4 linked regions of the Drosophila melanogaster genome follow. Changing the gene in region 1 together with any one later gene gives a genetic interaction. Each region holds a gene or a part of one and is shown in the gene's direction. Other genes may lie near its edges.

Evidence for each region.
Region 2: of msn (region 1) and ics, changing one suppresses a phenotype caused by changing the other (phenotypic suppression), as found in Drosophila melanogaster (one study listed by BioGRID).
Region 3: of msn (region 1) and Rab11, changing one suppresses a phenotype caused by changing the other (phenotypic suppression), as found in Drosophila melanogaster (one study listed by BioGRID).
Region 4: of msn (region 1) and tkv, changing one suppresses a phenotype caused by changing the other (phenotypic suppression), as found in Drosophila melanogaster (one study listed by BioGRID).

Annotation. Positions count from the first base shown.
Region 1 is NT_037436.4:2,583,074-2,588,333, reverse strand, and holds the start of msn (misshapen), read left to right. Parts: upstream 1-1,793; 5' UTR 1,794-1,931; exon of another isoform or gene 1,932-2,068; intron 2,069-2,079; exon of another isoform or gene 2,080-2,297; intron 2,298-2,595; 5' UTR 2,596-2,651; coding exon 2,652-2,729; intron 2,730-5,260. Other genes in the region: RpL8 (ribosomal protein L8), read right to left, coding at 1-250, 444-581.
Region 2 is NT_033779.5:13,638,562-13,644,580, reverse strand, and holds ics (icarus), read left to right. Parts: upstream 1-1,978; 5' UTR 1,979-2,561; intron 2,562-3,308; exon of another isoform or gene 3,309-3,310; 5' UTR 3,311-3,332; coding exon 3,333-3,471; intron 3,472-4,099; coding exon 4,100-4,721; intron 4,722-4,784; coding exon 4,785-4,875; 3' UTR 4,876-5,134; downstream 5,135-6,019.
Region 3 is NT_033777.3:21,109,232-21,116,707, forward strand, and holds Rab11 (Rab11), read left to right. Parts: upstream 1-2,176; 5' UTR 2,177-2,584; coding exon 2,585-2,624; intron 2,625-4,714; coding exon 4,715-4,836; intron 4,837-5,521; coding exon 5,522-5,870; intron 5,871-6,019; coding exon 6,020-6,153; 3' UTR 6,154-6,915; downstream 6,916-7,476. Other genes in the region: rtet (tetracycline resistance), read left to right, coding at 16-357, 421-494, 788-963, 1,021-1,326, 1,385-1,476; ppan (peter pan), read left to right, coding at 7,073-7,402, 7,465-7,476.
Region 4 is NT_033779.5:5,240,673-5,245,815, reverse strand, and holds the start of tkv (thickveins), read left to right. Parts: upstream 1-1,676; 5' UTR 1,677-1,740; coding exon 1,741-1,834; exon of another isoform or gene 1,835-3,117; intron 3,118-3,195; exon of another isoform or gene 3,196-3,597; intron 3,598-4,309; coding exon 4,310-4,447; intron 4,448-4,638; exon of another isoform or gene 4,639-4,710; intron 4,711-4,978; exon of another isoform or gene 4,979-5,050; intron 5,051-5,143.

The DNA of each region.
Region 1 (5,260 bases):
AGGTGCGGGCCAAACGGCCGCGATCACCGGTCTTCTCCTCCAGGTTGCAGATGATGGTACCCTCGGGCATCTGGCTGAGGGGCATCACGTTGCCGATCTGAAGGGTGGCCTTGCGGCCGCAGTACACGAACTGGCCGGTGTGCATGCCCTCGGGGGCGATGAACAGCTCCTTGCGGATCTTGTAGCGGTAGGGGTCGCGGAAGTGGACGACGGCCAGAGGAGCGCCACGGCCGGGATCGTGGATGATGTCCTGAAACATGGAAGAAGTACGATTCGCTTAGTTACACTTCAAAAGCAGTTAAGCCAAGTGAGCTAAGTAACTTCTAGTAAGCTGGCACAGGTGCTCAAGCACGTCTCTTGAATGTGGCATGGCCAAATGCAAGTGATCTCATCCACATTAAACGGATAGGTGTAGTTGGTGATCCTAGGAGCACGTTACTCACCTTGACAACTCCGCGGATGTAGCCGGAACGCTCGGCGAAGTCCAGGGAACGCAGCTTGGCGGCTCCCTTGCGCTTCTTCACGTGCGCCTTGAACACGGAACCAGCTCCCTTACGCTGTGCACGAATAACGCGACCCATTGCTGCAAGACAAATTCACGGGATTAGTACTCGAACTCCATATTGCAAATGCGGCGGTTTCACTAAATAAGATGGCCATCTTCAATGCAACACGCTACGGAATTTCGATCTTATTCGAATATTTTGACGGAAAATTGAAATATTCCATGTTACACGGTTATAATGTTAAATTGCGCACTGTAAACAATTTCCGCAATTGAAAACACCACCAAATTTACAAAATTTAGCACGTGGCTTACCGTAAAATTAAAATTGCCCAATACGACCACTCCGGAAACGGGGCGAAAAGAAAAGAAAAGAGGAAGACATCCTAGAGGTGGGCAGGGAATAGTGTGGCTGTGTTTGGCGTCTGGCGTCGTGACTAACGTGCTGCTGGGGAAAGAGCTGTTTCTCACTGCTATTTTGGGTATTCGCGAAATTGTTAATTTGCTAATAATAATAAATAAAATAATAAAATTTATCATATTAAATCTTCAAATTCAGTTTTCGGAAGTTTTACTAATCAGTAGCTCACTTGCCCAGAAAATTTGGTTTGATTTCAATCTTCGCAAGGTCAATTTCGCTGAAATCTGCTTTACCTAATCGAAACGTTTCTAAACTGGATAATTTTAATATAAGTTAATCGATTTTATATATGTATATAATAATTCAATTAGATGTATGAATAATTCGAGTTGAGCTGGAAAGTTGTGTCGAGCACTTGCCAATTGGATGAGAAGTGAAAAAGGCGACCCAATCAGAAATAAAATAGAGAGTGAAAAGAAACCAGTGGAAATATTCCGAAGCCGAAAGATATTTTGGACTATGCTATGCGTTCCACTGGCGTACATTTTTAGACGTCTTTATTTAACACATCTAATCTTCGACCATACATATCTTATTCTTATATTCCAATTCTGATTATTATATAACTTTAATAGGAAATGACTCAACGATTTGTGTTACCCTATGAAATAAAATATTAAATATGTTAATATTTTTTATTTTCCCAGCCTCTTTTTTCTAATTGGAATTAGTAAATGTCTATAATCTAATTTATTGATTACAGTTGCAAATTTGTTAATTTGCTATTCTGAAAGAGAAGAATATACGGGCACACGAATTGGCCTTTTACGGCTCGATATGTTTGCGGTATGTGCGCAGAAATGAGAACGGTAATCGCGGGGTATTTTTCAGTTCGCGATGGAATAAGCTGCCATCGGCTAATTGGTCACACTGTTGGAATCCGTCGGGGTTTTGGCGTCGCGTAAAACGGAAAACCGTTCTGATTTTCACTGAAGTTGGGAAATTGAACTGTTCAGCTGGTTGTGCGATGCAAAGGCGATAGGCGCCCATCGCTGTGCGTGAAGAGTACGTATTCGCGGTGCGCCAGTGAAAATCGCGAGTCCTGCGCGAGAACGCAAAACGCAATCGGGAGGAAAAAGCGAGTGGCAGATTTTTTCTGTCTACCTACACAAACACATACGCAGGCTACTGCACTGGTGTGGGTGTGTGTGTGAGGCTGGTCCATCGGAGCGCCGCAAAAAAAATATTGAAATTGTGCAGTGTGTGCGAAGTAGCAGATGAATCGGCAGTGATAAATAAATGGTTTAAGGGCGAGAAAAGATTTTATAAAGTGCTGGGGAATTAAAAGAGCCGCGCCCCGTTTGCCAAACGTTAACTAACACACACAAACACTCCGTCACAAAACACACATACGCACGCAGAGCCAGAGCAGTGAGAAAGAGAGATGGAGAGAGACAGAGAGCGAGAAGAAGAGCGGAGAAGCGAAAAGAGAAAAGTTGTATGACAGCAACAAATAGTTTGTTAATTGCACGGGTTTTTTATTGTGGCATTTGTCATTTAGAGCGTATAAATCTTAAATCGCGGTAAAGTGCGTATAAATCTAAAATCGCAGTAAAGTCCTGCGGCCGCTCCTTCTCCACTCTATTTCTCTCCCCGTTGTTTTGTCCCCTCCCCCCGTTCACCGTCTTATTTGCATTTCTCCTCTCTCCACCTCTTTCTGCGTGCGAAGAATCAGCAGCAGCAATTCTCCAGATCCAGAAGAACAAAATAAAATAGCAAATCAAAATGGCGCACCAGCAGCAACAACAACTGGCTCCATCGGTCAACTGTTCACTGGACGATATCGATCTGACGGCCCTAAAAGTGAGTCAATAAGCTGCGGTTATCCATCTCGAATGGAAATGGAATACGACTAGAAATAGAACCAGCAGCAGAGCCCCCCGAAAATAGAGCCCCCACATTGCCCCCTCCCCATCAGCTATATTCATTAACAAGCCTCGCCCGATTAACGGGAAAGTGACCGCCCCGTGATTATTTTCCCAGGTGTGGTCGTTTACACTCCAATTTCCGTTCGTTATTTGTTAGTTCGATTTCACAAACTATTTACACTATCTGAAAGGTTTCACAATCGATTAGTTTCAAAAAGATGTAAAATATACCGAGATGCAACCAATACGAATTCTTTTTTTTTGATATTATGATGAATTTTTTATTTTATATTCCTGCAATTCGCAAAGAAGCCCCTTTACTCAGAACTTGGTTCCAAAAATACCCCACAATATCTTACCCAACTCGATTGGCCTTTCCAGTCGTCAAACCCTCGAAGGTTTCCCCCGCACATTTATGCAAATTGTTTAAAAGTACAACAAAAGCGAGTTCTTTTTCTTTGTGTTCTTCCTTTTTTGCACTTTGCCATGGCAACGAAAAAAGGTTTTTTTTTCTGGATTTCCGTTCTCCCCCTCGAAGCAATCACAATAATAATCGAGTTGATAACTGCACATTGACATTTCGATTTCATTGCCTGACAAAAAACCACCCAACTTGGCACCACCCACCCTGTAAGTTTTGAATGTGAGAGTGGTGTGCGCAACTTTTGACCGGCCGGTGCCACCTTCTCCGCTTTGCCAAGCTATTTTTTGTTTCGCTTCGTTTCTCAATGAATTTGTCGAGTCTTAACCCCCTTTCGGCCGCCTTAGCACCCCCCTTTAACCCCCCTGTGGCCGCACGCACTGCCGCATGCGTTTGTTGCCTTTCTCTTTCACCAAACATTCACCACTCTCAGCACTTTTGGTGGCGGAACGGAACTCACCACGCCCGCCGGCCCCACGTTGGGCGCCATCTCTTTTGCTTTGCGCACCCACCGAAAGTTCAGTTTGGCACAAGTGTGTGTGTGAGTGTCCGTTTGTTGACTCTGCCTGGATGTGGTGGGTGGTGGGGGGGGGGTCAATGTGGAGTGGGCTGGTGGTGGTGCTTGGGTCGTCGCCTCGCTGCTACGGCATGTGCGCCGCTGTGGTTGTGTGTGTGCTTCACCCACAGATGAGGCCAAAATAATAGGCTTTAAGGCGGCCTTAAAAAAGGGATGTTCCGTGAAGTTCTATAAATTAAGTTAGCACTAAAAATCTGGAGTCAAATTTAAGAGATCACAGCATTAGTTTGGGAAGAGTTTTAGTTGGCTTTCGTACGGATAATATTACTTGTTTGTTCGTATACATGAAAATATACATATACAAACAAGTGTATTTTTCGGATTAAAGGCTCATTGCCGATTGACTTATATTCACAGTTCTTTTGAGTAGAACGAGGCTCCGCAGGCACTATTATTGTAGCCCCAACTGTTAACCCGTGTGTGTTTATGAAAAATTGTTCATAGTCGATGCAGAGCGACGAAGACGAGACAAAAACGAGACAAGAATGAAAATTGTTTAGTTTACTTTATTAAAAGGCGGCAGGCAGAAGCGAGCAGAGCAACACCATGCGTGCTTTTGTATCTATGCGAGTCGCATGTATCTGAATCGCTGTGTGTGTTTGTATCTGCGCTGCAGCAGACAGCTTGAAGATGGCGATAATGTGGACTCAAATGATAATGATGATGAAAACGATGATTAAGATGGGGCACACACACAACACCGGCTGCCAAGAAAAGCGGCGACGAACCCAAAGCAAAATCAGCAAAAATGGCAGCAGGCATGAGAATCATGAATTGTGATGTGTGTCTTGTTTGAAGTGTTGTTTTTATTTTTGTTTTATTTCTGTTTGGCCTTCTCCTCTCGGTGAGGGGCGCTAAAGTGGGCGTGGACGTGGGCGGCCCCTCGCCTGCATGTCTGCCATATTCCGGTGACCTGTCTGTGCGTGGCTTTTAAAGGTCATTAAACACAATGGCCGAGAGAAGAGAGATGCGATAGCTGTGGAATGTCCCGAAATAGAAAACGACAAAAGGTCAGAGTCCTTAAAGCTAAGGTTCTTTCTCTCGAAACTGGCTCGCTTTGTTAGGCTTCCGTTCTGGTTTCTGTTCACTCGATAAGAACTCCACTCCCCTCCACTCCTTGTGTCTGATAAGATACCACAAGCTGCATTCATCAGCACAAATTTCATTAATTATTTCTGGTTTTTACGACTCCCCATTTATTTGTATTTGGTGCAGTTTCTTTTATTCTCCACTGATAAGCATTCAAACGCGGTTCGTCTTCATTTTGGTGTGGCTTCCACTTCTTTATGTGTATTTCACTCGCATGTGCACTGAAAGAAACCGATCTTCAATCAGTAATGTTTAGTATCTAGGATAAACAAAGGGCTGATCCAACAACTTGGTTCTGAAGAATTCACGAGGTGGGCTTCTTCTTTTAAGTGGCACTATACTGCGTTTTAAATTTAACTTCATTATTTTAAATCTCTTT
Region 2 (6,019 bases), on another chromosome or scaffold:
CCACTTTAAGCCCACTTGAAGCTATTCAATCAGCCGACAACTCTTTCGAACTGTGGTCGTTCAATTCCGTGAGAAAGGGACACAAATTAGTGAGGGCAGGCAAGTGCCATCAATTAACTAGAATCCGGATCGATTATTTGCCGCTCCTACGCACATTCGCACATTGGCATGGATAACATTTAAACGAAGTAAACACTTAATGCGAATTTATGGCCGCCAAATGTCCAATTTGGAATTTAAGCGAGCTTGGCAATGAAGAATTTATGGTTTTTGGTCGCTATTGCGGTTAGAATTTTACATAGAAAATCGAACTGCAAAGTTCAATATAATTTTATGAAAGAATCGATTACCTAACAAAGGACACTTCTCAGGCTTTGATTTTGCTACACAATACAATACAATGCCTTAATTGCAATCATATATTAATATGAGTGGAACTGAGCATAAACTATGTATTTCCAAACATTTTGGCCACCATTTCAAAATTAGCACAATTTGCGCCGAGCTGCAAAAGTTTGTCAGCAGGAAAAAAAGGCAAACAAAAAGTTAATTAAAACAAAAATTACGGACAGTGGCCGGCGGTCGTTTGGTGGCGACTGTGCCGCAGCATTAGCAGTGCAGCCAAAAATGCAGCCGAAAAATCTGCGCGCCATCTAAAACAAAAATTAATTTTTGGGCCAGGGAAAGTTTTTATTTCCCTCCCATTGCTGTTGCTGTTGTTCTTGTTGTTGTTGTTGTTTGCTGGCCAGGCGAGAGTTTGCATTGTTTTGCATATTTTATACGGCGGAAGTGTATACGGCAAAGGCACTCGCCATCATGCCAACTACCCCAACCCAAAAAAAAAAAAAAAAAAGCGAAAAAAATGGTATGTGCAACACGCAAATTATGCAGGCGCATAAGACAAACTTTCTGTTTTGCGGATTCGACAACCGGCGGGATGAAAATTAATACGAAAGCCAAAAAACGGGGTTGCCCCCCCACCCACACAAACATCTAGTTCCTACGTATTTCTGAGATCCAAAACTGCATCGGCAACTGGAGCACCGCAGAGTAATTAAAAATACAGCCAATGGCCAGAGCAGAAAAACCCCGAGCAGCTTGTACTGAAGGAGATCATATCGGCCATGTTTGCAGCCCAGAAATCTGAGTCCCTTCAAAATTTGCATCTAGCATCCATCAAATAGATAAAATTGAAGAAATGTCTCAGCTTGCAGTTCTAATAAAAACTATTAAAAAAGAAAAGAAAATTAAACTAAAATGCATTAAAAAGGGTAAAAGCCAACATGACTATATTGAATTGATATTTTATTAAATGTGCTCTAAGCTCATTTCTTATTGCACTGCAGTTTTCAGTTTATAACGGTATAAAATTCTTAAGTGGCTAAGTAATAAGAAACAGACTTACTTTATTATTACTGTTTCTATATTGTTTTCTTTCGGTTCTAAGCGCTTAAAATAGCTTATATTGTCCCAGACTTTTTGAGATTCAGGCACACAGCAAATGGCTGCCGAATTGCAAACGCGATTTAAATGGGTAATGCCAGGACATGGCGATTGTTTTATAATGCAACGTCCCCACTTTCCACTTTTGCGCCTGCAAGCTTATTACAACGGTTAGCTTTATATTTACTATCCCAAGTCGTGTCCTTACTCACTAATATATCGAAGTTTACTTTCATGTGTATATGGTGTGAGCAGCAGAAGTAAGGCAAGAACGTAAAATATAGCGAAAAAAGTCATGATGTCTCACTTCACATGGAGATGTGATAAATCATATTAAAATCTTATATGCGTCAACGAGATGGCTGCATTTAAGATATTAATCAACTGTGTAATTAACTAATCAACAAAGCGCCTATTTCCAAGTCGACAAACCACAGATTTCATGCTTTAGTTATGCCTGTTTTTTGTCTTTTCGATATAATTCAAACTGGTTTCGACACTGTAGTGAAGATGCTGGAGAAAAAGCGAAATACTTTAAACAAAATCAACAAAACCCGGTATTGAGTTTGGGTTCGATTTGTTTTTTATTTTTTCCTGTCTGCCGGCAGTGGCGACAATCGAAAAAGGCAAAAACCAGCCCCCAGCTATTATTCGGATCCCCCATCACCTCCAACTCGCCCACATCCACATCGATCGATCTTGCTGACGCTGCGAGAGATCTTCTCAGTTTCTCGAGACGATCGGACGACGCACGACGCATTCCGCACTTTGGGTCTATTTTCGTGATTAATTTCGAAGAGCGGAGACGTATTCTAATAGGAACCCATGTTCCATTCTGTAACGTGAGTGCCATATAATCTGCAGAAATCAGTACGAATTCGTCCAGATACTCAACAATTTTACGCATACAGTATGAAAAGCCTTGGTGTTTTCCTACAAAAATAGGTCAAGTGCAGTGTTTGTGTAACATAGTGACCTAAAAAACGTTTAAATTCGTTTTCATGTGGATGAAAAGTGCTGAAAACTGACCGAAGAAAAACATATGCTAACAAAAAGTGCAGTTGGCGCAGTTTGAGAGCTACTGAAAGTGGCTGCCAAAACAGTTTTAGAATTACTCTGTAAGTAATTGTGGTTCATTACTTAGTTTTAGACCAACTACACGAAAAATATATAAAAATAAAAATAAATACATTTTACAACAATATTTTATATTTTAATTTAATACATAAATTAATACATAATTTAACATAATACATAATAATAATGTTAAGTCCTTTAAGACATTTGAATATTTCATTAATCGAGCAAAGTAAAAATAAACAAAATTATATCAATATTATTAAAGAATGCATGTTATTATAAATTCAATAAATAAAACACGTTACAATTAAGTTTTTACCAATCACAAGTAAACACACTTTCTACATGTAGATATGATAACATACATCGAACGCGCGTAAAATTTATGTTGGTACCTTTTTATCAACAATTGTTTGGTGAGCTTTGATTTCACATTCATATATAAGTAGATACAAATGAATAATGAACATCTTTTTTTTTAAATAATATAAATATAAATATTATTTAATAAATGAGCTCAATACTTATTATTCGATTAAGTCATTTACAATATCTTACATTGCTTCCTGTCGATGTAAAATTACATATTTCTACTTGTCTGGCAGCCCTGAAATACATATAACAGATATAATAGCTCACATTACAAAAAAATTGCTTACAAAATTTAAAAAAGCATAGAATTAGTTTGCCAAATTCTTTTACTATTCTGCTTTTAGAAATAAAAATTTATTGACTAACCTTCAAAATAATTAATTAGAAATGTATATTTTGTTCTGGTATTTTTTAGGGCGTATTAGGAATCAACGAAAATGAGTCAGTCTTGTATACCAGTGAGCGCAAAGATGTCGAAGGCAAAGAAGGTTTTGGATGAAGCCCGAGAAACTCACAATCCCGAGTTGGATTTGGCCGACAAGGGGCTGTCGTCCTTCGAGGAGTTGCCCGGACTGTGTAAGTATCAAAACCAAAGGATCTTGAAGGAATTATACGGATTTTTGCACTTCTGAGTAAACATAATGGTGGGTTACTTCCACGCAGAATGGAGCCTCGCCCAGCTGCTAAAAAAATTGTAAATTAATAATATTCTAGCGTATGTATTTATGTTGTGGTAATAATATTCATTTAAAATGAGTCTAAGCATCTTTTTAAATGGAGTCGCTTAGTTTTATTTATTGTGATGACGCCAGCAGCAAAATATGCATAAGTTTGAGTGTAGAGAACGTAAACAAACACTGTAAATACCGCAAATAAGATGTGTATACATATCTGGGAAATGTACTACAACTCCATAACTATGACTTCATTTACATAAAATTAGAATATACTACAATTATTAATCTTAAAACCATTAAATTTTTGAGAAAAAAAAAACATTGCGCATGCCTCTGCTTATATTGTTGTCCCGCTCCAACATTCGGCGTCTATACTTGTTGCCTGCAATCAGCTGTTTGCATTTAAACCCAGTGGTGAATTCACAGTGCATTGGACAATTATGAAAAACAATCTTTGATATCACGAAAAAGGAAAAATATGTATTTTAAAGAGTTTAGTATTCTTATTAATATAATTTTTTTTGCAGTCAACATGTCCAACATCACGCGCTTGACCCTGTCCCACAACAAGATCAGCGTAATCAGTCCGGGAATCGCGAACCTACTGAATCTGGAGATCCTGAACCTCTCGAACAACCAGCTGACCGAACTGCCCGTTTCGCTGTCGTCCATGCCAAAGCTACGCATCCTCAATGTGTCCATCAATCGGCTGATAAATCTTCCTCGCGGCTTTGGAGCCTTTCCGGTGCTGGAAGTGCTCGACCTGTCCTACAACAATCTCAACGAACAGGTCCTGCCTGGTAATTTCTTTGGTATGGAGACACTGCGTGCTCTGTATCTGGGCGACAATGACTTCGAGTATATACCGAAGGAGGTGGGTCAGCTGAAGAATCTGCAGATACTCGGATTGCGTGACAACGATCTTCTGGAATTGCCCCGCGAAGTTGGGGATTTGGTGCGACTGCGGGAGCTACATATTCAAAACAATAGGCTGCAGGTGCTGCCACCAGAGATCGCCCAGTTGGACCTACTGAGCAACAAGTCGGTCATGAAGATGGAGGAGAATCCCTGGGTCAATCCCATCGCCGAGCAATATCTGCTGGGCATTAGTCACGTCATCGACTACCTCAAAACGGAGACCTATAAGATGTGAGTGCACCATAGATCCATATATCCATAAATGTATATTCATCTGATCCTTTTCCTTGACAGCATCTACAACCGCCACTTGCAAGCAGGACGCAGTGGACCGCCGCCACCCAAAGCTGACAAAAGCAAGAAGGCCTCTCGAATTCGCGCATAGTGATTCTCCACCAGAAGATCCCAAGATCCCATGGAATTACAAATGTGTTCGTCTCGTTCGTTGTTAACCAAACCCGTTTTCGTATACTAATTTATAAGTACTTTTAAACTAATGCGTATTTCTGCAATGTGCCTTGACCCTTAGTTTCACTAATGAAAATAAAACAAAATAATAGATGCATATATGTATTCCTGCTGGTTTAATTTCGGATCCTATGCGCAAAAGAATCGTTAAATAAAGACACGCTTGTATATTTTATAAAATAGTAGGTTTTTCTTGTTTTTATTATCTTTTCTCATATTCATTCTTCTTTTTTAAGAAATTTGTTCATAATCATAATTAATTAGTTTACTTAAAGTCAATTAATTAATTCTTTATTTATTTTAATTAAATTAATAGTTAAATGTTTTTTGTTTTTGTTCTTTGTTTTCTATGTTTGAGAAAAACTAAAAGCATAGTTCTGCTTTGTTCGCTTTGAGTTTGTTTCGTTTCTTTGCATTTTTTCACTTGTCAATTTGAATTGAATACATTTTTTTTTTATCAATTTATGTTATTTAATTATTTTGTAAACGTATTTCGCCTTCACTGTATCTGCAATTCAAATTTAATTTATTCCTTAAAGTATATTTTAGTATTTATATTTATATATTTTTTATAGAGTTTATTTACAAGAGTTAAAGATGTTCTTTTACGAAAAGTCTGGCAGAAAAACAAACAAAAATGTAAATTCATTTATTCAGTAAATTTCTCCAAAATGATAGCACGGAAACGTCTTGTAAATTCGAATTGAGATAATTCCATAGCTATGCGTCACGATATACAAGTTGGATGTGCGAATGGAAACGAAGACAAGGGTTTCAAAAATAATATCATATAGCTTTCAAGCTATAAATGTCTTTTCTTGGAGTAGTACATCAGTCGGGACTCCGTGAGTAGTTGCACGATTAGTTCTTGAGCATGCAAATACGAAACACAGACAAAAACAAAAAACATAAACTAGTAACCTATGAGACTACAACAAAGCAAATTACAAGCACTCGATAGTATCATATATGCATGATCTATGCACTTTAAGATACTTACATAAAAATAGATTTATATGTTGGCAGATATACACGTATATGATAGATAACATTAAACATAA
Region 3 (7,476 bases), on another chromosome or scaffold:
TTCTTTCATCTATAGAGTGGTATTGCGTTATCCTATCTGATCTGGGCCTGCTCCAGCAACTTTGCCCTGTTCGTTTTGGCCCGCTTCGTGGGCGGAATTAGCAAGGGCAACATATCCCTGTGCATGTCCGTCATTACGGATGTGTCCAGCGTTAAGACCCGTGGACGCGGTATGGCCCTTGTGGGTGTGGCCTTCTCGCTGGGCTTTATTGTGGGGCCCATGATTGGAGCCCTGTTCGCCATATTCTCCGATAAAAGTGGAAGTACTTGGTTTGTGTTGCCCTCTCTGCTGGCGTTTGGCCTGGCAGTTGGAGATCTTGTGGTCCTGGCCTGCTGTCTGCGGGAAACGTTGCCCAAGGTGCGTACGGTTGGCTAAATTAAATATATTCCCAACACCATTAATTGTTTGACCTTTTCGCAGGAGAAACGTGTTAAGGAGATATCATCTGCACTGTCTTATGGCCTGCAGTTGCTCAATTTTTCGGCCATATTTAGGTAATTCAATGTTTTAATTAGCATGTCTCGAAAACCTGTCGTGTGATCAAATCGAAATCGTCATACGGTGAGAACTGCAAGCCACCCGGACTTGCCTGACTGGTTTGATAGACACTATTATCATGCCGGGTTCTCGGACACGTTTGTTTGATTGCCTTATCAGTTAGTAAATTCTAGATTGCTTTTGATTAATTGTAGTTACAGGGAATTGAGTCCAGTTAGCTAGAAGATTATTACCAATGATTATGTCTGGATTTTACAATCATATTTCAAAAGAATTCTCCCACTGACAGATTTGCTGCCATCAAAAATGTGCCTAAGAAAGACATTGCGGCACTGCGATCCATTGGCCTGGTATACTTCTTGTATCTCTTTCTGTATTCCGGCTTGGAGTTCACCGTCACATTTCTGATGTACCACAAATTCGGTTACACTTCGATGGATCAGGCGAAGATGTTTTTGACAACGGGTATGGAGCAAGTTGATAATCTACAATATTCCCTATCAAATTTGTGTCTTTTTCTAGGTGTAATCATGACTTTGCTGCAGGGATCGGTGGTCCGACGGCTGCCCGAGGCGAAGATCAAAGGCTATGCCATCTTCAGTTTGTACCTGATTGTACCCGCCTTCGTAGTAGTCGGCCTAGCCGAGGGCAGTCGGATGCTGTACGCCGGCATGACCCTGTTCGCAATCTCCACAGCCTTCGCTGTCACCTGTCTGACCACCCTCGTATCCAAATACGGAAACGATGACCAGAAGGGTTCAGTACTGGGCATATTCCGCTCACTGGGAGCTTTGGCTCGAGCTCTGGGCCCCGTGGTGGGATGCATTGGTGAGCTCCTCAGCTGTCTTAGGATTATACCTTTTCTAAACTCTTTAATCCTTAATAGCCTTCTGGTGCGTTGGCTCCAGGATCACCTATATAGCCGGCGGACTTCTGCTCATTTATCCAGCCATGGCCTTGCAACGCGCTCGCATTTAAGTGCAATAGGAATAGAGTTTTTAAACTCACTAGAGATCAACGGAAGTATTAGCTGCACATTATACTTAATTTATCGTTTTTTACAAGTATTTTATATTAAAATAAACACATTTTTACTCTGATTTGTAAGCAGGGGGTTTTTACTTGGGATCGAAATGTTTTCTATTTAATTAATTTTTTTAATAAGATAATATTAGAAACAGTTACTGCTACTGGGAGAACGATTCTGTTTAGGTTGGAACGTTTTAAGTATTCAAGACATTTTGAGTTGGAAATAAGTTAAATGGGCTAGGGATAATCCCTAGAAAATGTGTTCAGCTTTTTTAAAATACGATAGGCTTGTCGGGATGAAACGAGAGCAGTTCATGATAATTCGTCGTACCGTCTGGTAACTCTAAAACATCCATCTCGTTAATTTAGTGATGCAAGTCGATGTGAAAACATCGATAATGATATAAGTATGTTGGTGTTTTAAAATAAAACAAATAAGTTTTTTAAATAGGAAACAAACATTAGATTTATTTTCTAGACCTAATGTGTTTTAATTATGAAAAAATTTAATTCTAATTCTAAAGCTTTTGAGTATAAAACAATGTTCATATAAACAAAAATAGAAGTGACATTGTACTATCGCCTTACATCGCCATTAAGAAAATCGATAAGTATCGCCGAAATAATGTCGATGTACCGATATTTTTCAACATCTCTAGTCTCGTTGGAAATATAACGTGACGTTATTGGGAGTGACTAAGTTTTCGTGTAAGAGAAAATTGCAAATAAATGCGCTGCAAGCAGCTGCAAATCTCCAATTAATACTGCTCCAATTGCCGGAAAAGTCCTGCCAGCATTTTCGAACGCATCCGAGCTGGAAGAGCAACCGATTTCGCCACTTAAATACTGATATATACACTTTTCTCTTTCTTTACAACTACAACTGCAAATAAAAGTGTAAAGTGTGTGAGCCGACGACAAACGCATTAAAGAAATCGGCGGCGCGCAGGGATTATTGGATTTCGTTTAGCACCCGCACACACAAAACAAAAAGGACGGAACTGGATTTCCAAAGGATATCGAACCGAGCGAGCGATAGCAAAACAAATTGAGCAAAATGGGTGCAAGAGAAGACGAGTACGATTATCTGTTCAAAGGTAATTATAAACATGATACTAGCCGCTGGTCGAAGATCGCGGAAGGTTGATCAGGAGGGGAGGAGCCGCACTTCCAGGCTCTCCTCTCCCTGCCGTGAGAGACAGTGGTTCAATAGCACTAATTGAAACTAATTGGAGAATAACAAAAAGTGCACTCGAAGAGCCCAAAGTTCATGTGATGGTATGTGGTGTGTTTGTTTGCGTGAGTGTCATTAATTCCCAAAATAAGAAGTACGCCCCCCGAGTTTGTTGTTGTTGCTACTGCTGCAGTTGGATGCCCTTTGGTGGCTCTCCCGCTCTCACTCTGCCTATCTCCATCTCTTTGGGGTACTCTTTCGGACTGGAGTACGCGTACTTTGCCGTTAACTGCTTGTTTTGTCATTACAGTGCCGTTGGTCTCGCCACGTTGCATACAAAAGCCAAGCAGATCGTATTTATAATCGCTCGCTCTGTAAAGTAGGTTTAAGGCTTGCCCACCCACTCGAAATGCTAAAGTGATTAGATATCCAGTAAATAGAGCGAGAGTGTGGGTATTATGATTTCTGTACAGCTGGCTTTTGCAATGGTTTCTTGTAACTTCGTTTAGTAGCTCTCTCTCACGCGCGCTCTCTTTTTCACCCGCTCTCGATTGAAAGTTTGAAGCACAGTAGAGCAAAATGATGTATTTGCAGGTAGAAAACAAGACTTTTATCCCGCATCTTCCCCCGTTTATGTGTAGATATGTATGAACAGAGGTCACAAATTCTCAGCTCTTCTTTGTTCCCTTCGTTTGCTACTACGCCATAAATTCCAATTGCGCTTGGAAATCTCTGCTAGCTATCACAGCTGAGCAACTGTTGAATGTCATTAAAAAAATATTTAAAACTTAATCTGCCGTATTTTTTGGGTCAAGTATACAAAAAGTTAAAAAAAAAGTCATCATAATAATGCGTCAGTGTGCGGTATGCATGATGAGGCCTCAAATTTCACACATGAAACAATATTAAACGGACATGACTCACAGCCAATAACTGCTGAAGAATTCCACTCACCGATAAGCGCATAATCACATAACTGAAAATGGGCCGTTTCGGGTTATTCGAGCCAATCCCACTACTAAGTAATGACCGTCGATTACCACTCCTCCCCTTTTAATTTCTCATCGCATCCGCTTAACTAAGTGCAATTTCTCTTTAAAGATCGTTATTAGCGCTGAGAAAGAGAGTAGAAAACAAAGTGACTCAGCTCTCTCGCTGATAACTGTAACCACGCTGCTCCCAGCTGTCCACACTGAAAGAAAACCCTATACCCTCTAATTTAGCTATCTAAATTAAGTCAAAAACTTGGACTTAGCTCAAAAGTCGTTTCAAATATTTAGTTCCTATCTTAATGGCATTGCAATCGAAACTTCGAACTCAAGAATCAGTGTTCATATGATACCATTTTACTATTTGAATTTTCTCCGTGCAGCGATGACCATAGCGATAGAGCGAAAAGGTGTTTGATGAGTTATAGTTGTTGTTTTCTGAATGGATTAGCAAACATGCTGAATCAACAATGTCCGAAAAGGGTGTCAAAAATGGAAACTAATAGACAGACAGTCAGTAAACACAGTGTCTAGATATCAGTTAATATATATTATAGCCAACAACTCTGGCCGCACATAAGAAAGTTTATCAAAAAGAAATGGAGTCGTAAAAAGGTCAGTGGATAGTTTTTATCGGGTAGCATATCAACTTGGGATGCTTGTTTGCTCCCTCAAATATCCGCCACTCAATTATCCAAGAAATGTTTGCTATCGGCAATGAAGCACAATAACACGAACTCCCTAACGTCGACTGGCCCAATCATAAAACATTTCTTTCCATGGCCTGAAATCCCCCGAGCATGGCGGTTTTATGTACTCGCTGACCTTGGTGCGCCGTGCCAGCGGCGAAAGGAGGACATGACCTAGCCGGGCCACCAGCGACCATTCTGTCCGGCCGTAAAACACAAGACAGGGGCCATGCCACGCCACGCCACACCACACACCCACATAAATTATGCAACTGGGGGTCTTCGATTATCCAATGCCAATGTCGATGTCACTAATTCCCTCTAATCCTTTGCAGTTGTCCTTATCGGTGACTCCGGTGTTGGCAAAAGTAATTTGCTCTCACGTTTCACGCGCAATGAATTCAACTTGGAGTCCAAGTCGACGATTGGCGTTGAGTTTGCAACGCGCAGCATAGAGGTGAGTACGCTGGCCAAGAATTCGAGGGTGGAGTGGCCCATGGAGCTCCACCCCCACACATCTACCGCACCGCACCCACAGTGGGGGAAGTCACGGGTGAACTTGCGTGTGCGTTTCGGTGGGAGGACACGTAGTTGAGGCGTCTATCGGAAAATTGGGGGGAAAAGTTTGTTCAATTTGAGTAAGTGTCGAGAATTTCACTAAATAATGGATTGCCAATTGGCTTTCTTGCATAATTTCAAAAGCCATCCTACGGGATTAGCCAAAATGTTGACATCATAGTTGTCACTTGTGCTGAAATAATAAATTTATGTGGTCAATAACAATTATATATTACGTATGTATAAGGATTTGTGTTAAACAATACTTTGTGCCATCTTTTCGAAGTAGCTTAGTAGGTCATCTTAATATTTAGTATATCAAATGGGTTCAATGAATATAACTTACGCTACTTGCGTTTTTTCTAACTAGTGTAAGAAATTTCAAAAATTGGGTTCTCTTACTAGAGTTAAAAGCTTATCCATAAGCTCTAATTTATGTTGGTTATGTGTGAATACTGAATGCCAGTGCTTGTATATTAATTTTCAAAGCGAATGCGCCGCAGGCATTTCGTGGCGAAATTGCCAATTACTGGCACCATTCTAATGCTGTCCTTTGTTTCATCCTTCTTGTGCATCCAACGCAGGTCGATGGCAAAACAATTAAAGCGCAAATCTGGGATACGGCCGGCCAGGAGCGTTATCGCGCCATCACCTCTGCCTACTACCGCGGTGCCGTGGGGGCCCTGCTCGTCTATGACATTGCCAAGCATCTGACCTACGAGAACGTGGAGCGGTGGCTGCGGGAATTGCGCGACCATGCCGACCAGAACATCGTCATCATGCTGGTGGGCAACAAGTCCGACTTGCGGCACTTGCGCTCCGTGCCCACGGACGAGGCGAAGCTGTTTGCCGAGCGCAACGGCTTGAGTTTCATAGAAACCTCGGCCCTCGACTCAACGAACGTTGAAACGGCATTCCAGAACATACTCACAGGTGGGTCGTTCAGGATATTTTAGCTAGTCTGCTTTCAAATTATCGATCGTTTAAGAATATTTAAATACTGTAGATTAAACGCTTCATTGAAAGTCAATAGATTAATGATAACGAAGCACGACTAATGATGTCTCGTAATCCCGTTTCAGAGATCTATCGCATTGTGTCGCAGAAACAGATCAGAGATCCGCCGGAAGGCGACGTCATCCGCCCGTCGAACGTGGAGCCCATCGACGTAAAGCCGACTGTCACCGCCGATGTGCGCAAACAGTGCTGTCAGTGACCGCCCCAAGCAATTTTCGCTATTCCCCGCAACCGCCAGAACAGCAACATAAACAGAAGCAACAGCAATTACAACTACGACTACAAGAGGAGCAGCAGCGGCCAGAACTGCAACACCAAGATCAGGAGCAGCGTACACCCGATGGACCGCACAAGATGTCTATGCGTTTGTCAGCCACAGTTTGTCATGTGCGCATAAATTGATAATTCAAATCTGAGCCGCCACTCTCCACCACCAACACCACCACCATCATCAGAAGCAGCAGCAGCAGCAAAAGAATCGAAAGCAACAACATCCGGCTGTAGTTAACTGCGGTTTAAACTGAAGTTTTATATATATACAGATCCATGAGTATCGCATAAATCGACCGCCGCGGAAAGAAAGCAAGCAAAACTAAACACTCCAAATTCAGTTTAAGCTGTAGAACTATAATTTATATAAATATACATATATGCTAATATTAAAATATTAATATTATTAATTTTTCGCAACATAAATATATAGTTGTAATTTCGCGAGCAGAACAACAACAAACAACCGGAAATTCTTCGACTTAAACGCAAATTCATTACCACAGCACTGCAGCTCGGATTTTCTTCTTCGGTTTCTCGCAACATTTTAAACGATTGGCCACTTGGTAAAACTAGCTGATAAAGAGAAATCAAACAAAAACAGTTGTAAAACTTTAAATGCATAAATGAAACGAAATAACATCATTTGTGTTTGCTATGTTAAGTGTGATTAAATAAATATAATTTAAATAAAACAGAAGTGCTTTCAATTGGGCGGAAAATCGAAATTTAAAATGGGATTAGAGTGACCAAAGGCAGACGTCGGAGTGGGTGTTTGGTATTTTCCGCGCGAGCAGCCACACTGATCCATACACGTGCGGGAGAAAAGTGAACAAAAACATTGAAACATGGGCGGTAAGAAGAAAGTGCATCCGAAGACGCGCACGGCGGCCTTCAAGGCCAGCGAGCCGAGCGAGATCGTGGAGGCGCCGCACTCCTTCGTCATCCATCGCGGCCTCGCCTGTCCGTACATCACGGACCTCACCCTGGACTTCCGCCGCATTATGGAGCCCTTTACGGCCAGCAATCTGCGCGAGAAGCGGATGAACCGCATCAAGGACTTTGTCAGCCTGAGCAGCTTCTTCCACGTCTCGCACATGGGCATCTTCAACAAGGCCTCCACGCAGCTGTCCTTCAAAGTGGTCCGCTTGCCGCGCGGTCCTTCCCTGACTTTCAAGGTTTGTTTGTTTCATCGCTTAGTTTATACTGGATATTTTACCGCGAAGTTATTCTCTGTCAGGTTCACCAGTTC
Region 4 (5,143 bases), on another chromosome or scaffold:
GTTCCATCATATAAAACAAGTGCATATGGCACGTTAAATGCAAGTCGAAAATTGATTTTTTAAAGTGTGTATGAAATGAGGCCCAGCTGCAATCAGCGGGCCAACTTGTTGTAAACAAATTGAAGTGGCACTCAGTGATCCCCTGCTCCGCCGCTCTTCTTCTTGTGTTGGCCATTACCAATTGCACTCGGGTTCAACCCTTACCCTCGACCATTCCCCATACCCAATTCCCTGGGGATCGAATTGGATGGGATTGTATGGACGGAGTGGTATAGGATGGTATGGCATGGGGACGTGCCTTCATTAGGCCATGCAGAGCGCGTAGGCAGAATGTGTAAACACACATCGATTTCCATTCCGAATGCGTCTCGTGTGCTATGCGTAATTTTAATTGATTTCATTTACGCATTTTTGACTAATGTTCACACGCCGATGCATCGGACTGGCGGGGGGTGCAGCTCATTTAGCATGGACTCGGCGCGTTGATGGACAGAATCCAACTCCAAATGGCTGCATCGGGGAATTTATTTTTGGCCCTATCGTCCCACTCTCGCATCCGCCGTTCGCCTGGTTTTCCCCACCCAGAAAAAAAAAAACCCAAAATCTGTAACATAAATTTCACTTTGATCTATTTTTGAGTGGCCAATGCAAGTTTGCTAAATTCTGTTCAGCAGAAGGAATATTTAAAATTTTTAATTGCTACTAGAGTGCGCGCACTCAGCGGCGACGACCCAGTTTCAAAACATCTTTGCTGGCCAGAATCTCGACTGGGTTAGGGGATTTCTAATGGTGGTGAAAAGGAGGGAGCACTAATCTCTAGATAGCATTTTTATGTTACGAAATATACAGTTTTACTCTAATTAATGTGTGTGACACATACTATTTTTAGCCATCTTCATGCATAAGCATCTTATAAAACAGCAAAAACATGGTATTACATGTAGGAAATGTGATTCACTTTCGCTAAACACAACTTTAAACGCACCCCCACTTTGCTAATTGCCCATTTTGGCTATCGTAACTCCTATTTTACTTCACTTTTGATTGCCTTGGGGTTTTCTTCCCCATTCTGCCATCAATCTCCAAGTTGACATCCCAACCACGAGCGATTTGGAAAGAAACGTGTGACTTACCGAACGATAAACTGAAAGTAAACCTCCAAGTTGCCTGGGCCATCAATCAATCAGTCACTTAATATGAATATGAAAATATGAACCCGAACCCACAACAAATGCAATGTGGGTTTATCTGGCGTACATTCGCCATTCATTATTCATTGTGTGTTTTTCCTCTCGCCAGCCAAGTTTTCTTATCTCAGGCAACAATGTTGGCCGCGTTTTTCTTTGGGCCACTGTAAGTGCAACTTGAAAGGCGATTTTTAGGCCATTTTTGCAGTAAATGTAGCAGTACTTGAAGCATTTTGTAGTTGGACAAGGTTCAATGAGCAGGCAAACCGCTGAAAAGCCCAGTTACCCAGACCACACCCAATTGATTTTCACTCACTGACCATCTGAGAGATGCGTTTATGACACCAATCGACTTGAAATTTAAACAAGCAATATTTTAGATACATAAGCATGCCTTGACTTTACAATCAGTTGTTTTATATATTTTGCTTGTAACACACTTTTGATAACATGAAGAAAATTTACTGTGTGAAAAATTGTGAAAAACTTATTTAATGTATGGTTCGTATAAGGTGCCGTCCTAGTGCTTCTTGCGACCCTGGCAGAGAGATTGATGCGCCTTCAGCTGGTGGCCCTTGAACTCCAGGCCACATCTGGGACAGCCGACGGTCTGTTTGAAGAGATTGCACTAGAGGCGCTGACGCGGAGTAAGTTCGTCCTCGCTGGACAGCAGAGTAGTCGAGTTGCTGTTCAGCTCTGTGTAACCGGAGCTGCGAAGAATTCGCTTTGATGAATTTGATTTCGATTTGGTGCAGCGTGATGTGGAAGATCCCGAGGAGGAGAAACGGGTGTCCAAGTCCTTTGAAGTAAACGATGGCGGTTCCAAGCACACCATAATGGTACCGCGCTTCATTTTCTCAAAGCAAATGGGACAAGATACGATGTCGTTGTTGAGCAAGTGGGCTGCACGGTGTTCTTACGCTGCAAGTCTTTCATCAGGATGTCTTCTCCAAAAACATCGTCAATAATGGATTGATCAGCTAGTTCCGTGGCGGCTGTTAAACTGTCATTTGCCGGCCGCCTCATAATCGATTGAAAGGGTATTGACCTCGCACAAGGTCAATTCATCCTCCATTATCTAGCGCTTGATGTTCTGCGTGCGCTCCTGACTGCTCATGGTGTTCCTGCAAGCTGGCATCTTTAGCTCATCCTTTGACTGCGCTGCTTCTGTTCATCAATTTTCTTCATTTTATGTTATTAAAAAATATGTTACTATATGGAAGTGTTTGAATTTACATTAGAATAGCCTACTATGTTTTCGACCTAGTGTCATAGAGGCCTAACATTTTTGCCATTTGGCTGGGAGCCATTCAATTCGTTTGCCATGCAGTCGGCATTTGCTTTTATTTCTACGTAATTGCGAATCTTTTGAAGCGATGCGAACTATATCATCGCAGTACATTTTCCTACCCGTATGCATATTGATTGATAGCCAATTTGCACGTGCTCCACTTTGTGCCTGGGTTTTGCTTATTGTCGCCATGTTCTGCCCATACGAAATCAGTTCCCCTGGTCGCAGTTCTTTGGCTGCACCCACATGGATTGTCACGTTTGTGTTTTGTTTTGCTTTTGAGTTCTTGGAAATGTGTCGAACACAAGAGCCGCGAGTTTTCCACCCAGCAATTTGCAATCTTTGATAGATGGCTTATGTAACTGCCAGAGAGTGTAAGGCACAACACAACACAACACCAAAGTGGCGAAAATATTAGACGCGTCGGGGGAATTACGTCGTTTGGTCTGCGGGTTTCGAGTCGACAAGTGCAAGGCACTCAATCAATTAGCGATAGTCGATAGCCATAGACATGGGCTTTATCAATGCTTCGGTTAACTTCGTGGTTGCACTGGAAAATATTCGAAACTAAGAGGAGTTAGAAAGTCAAATTTTAGCAAGGCACTTTCAGCTAACAAATATTATATTGCTTCTTAAGTGTTGCAAAACTAAAAAATATCGCAAACCCCCTATCGATATCATTGAACTTTTTTTTTATTAATAATGTTTTTATTACTGTGTATAGCGGTTTCCCATAATTTACACCACTCATGTTACGCTAAAGTTTTATTGAGTTCCATTAATTTACGACTTTCTATGGTCGTAATTAAGATTATCCTTTGCTCGCGCTCCGCAATTGCCGCCGATTTTCCATGAATGGCAGCTTTTTATCGGACCTGCACTCGCATAATTCATTTTATCATTTTGACAGATTCGGAATGGAATAGCGACTTTCCTCGCCCACCCAACACGCGTACGAGATTTCAATTGCCCGTCGAGTGGCACACATATATTATACCAGCTCTCGAAATGAGACGCATCATAAATAATAACTAATGTTTTGATAAGACCCCAATGAGCGCCAACCACTTTTTCTGTTTATCAAATTACGTATGAAGTTTGCTCATTAATTTTGGCAAAGTGAGTGTAGGGGAAACATGGGTAGTGTAGCACACAGAAACCCCTGCAGGAGGCCTAACCCCTTTCGCTGAGATTGGGTCTGAGTCGCTTCCGCTGATTTGCACTGAAAGTTGCACAGTGGGGTTTTTGCACCTCGGTTTTGTATCTCGAGAAAGGGGGATTTCTTGGTCTTCAAGTCGCGCTCATTGCGTGGGCTTTGAGCCGTCGAGGAACGTCATCCTCCAAGTCTGTGGCGTGCAGACGACAGAACTAGACGTAATCTCGGCGAGCTGTCAAACAGTATCTTAAAGATGCCTCTCCGACTACTTGGCTGGCAACTGGTTCTGAACGCAGCCGTCTGCGGAGAGGCACTAAATTCTGCGGCCTTTTGACCAAGTTTATGACACACGTTTAGCTGTCTAGTTGGCCCACGCTCATCCGCTTTCAGCAGGAAGAGAGTTGAAGTTGCCCATTCTCCGTTGGTGCGACTCCCCTTTTCCTCTCCATCGCCCCTATGTGTTTCTATTTTCAATTAAGATCTCGTATTTCAGGCGCCCGACAAACGGGCAATTGTTGTTGTTAAATTATTAATTGACATTTGCCTGGCGCCACAGAAGAGCAACTCAAGTGCCAAGACTCCCACCCGCTCTCCCTTTTTTTGTTTACAAATTAGTTACACAGTTTTTCAATTTACTTATATTTCGTATTGCCCGTTTTTCTGTTTGCCCCGTAGGTGAATTCAGTGCGAATGTTCAGCCAGACGTCGAAGCTATGGCCGCCGCCGCTTTGAGTGGCATGGAAATGGGATCTGGACCAGGATCAGAGGGATATGAGGATGCCGACAACGAGAAAAGCAAGACCGTGGAAAATGGTGAGTCTACCATCTTAATAAAATGATTTAAAAAAGCGTGTTATAAATCAGCATCGAATATTTTGCATATCTTATCTTATTTTATCTTATATATAATATTAGTTCGGATTAATATAACTTATGATCATAACACTCGGATGTATAGATCAACAGCAAGTTTATATTTTGAATTTGGCGACCTAAGTTCAACATCCTCGATAGTATAGTGGTTAGTATCCCCGCCTGTCACGCGGGAGACCGGGGTTCAATTCCCCGTCGGGGAGATGTGTAAATAATTTTTTTTTTTTGGTTCGATATTTAATTTATGTTGTTACTTTTTAATTTTCGAAATTTATATATTATTTAACAGTTAAATTTAATAATTGCCTGGGTACGGAAGAATTTAGTTTGTTAAACAAAACAATACATCTGTTTCAACATATGAAAGAAGTGCTACATAAAAGCTAACAAAAATAAAAGCTTCAAAAATGTATAAAATTATTGTTATTGTTATTAACTGGAAAAATATATTGTGAAAAAATGCTCTCGCATCTCCCCGACGGGGAATTGAACACCGGTCTCCCGCGTGACAGGCGGGGATACTAACCACTATACTATCGAGGACGGTGAACGACACTCGCCAAATGTGGCATACGATTCTCGTTAGACTTCGGTTGGATTCCATCAGTGGAAGACCTTCCCTCCTTTGGCATTAAG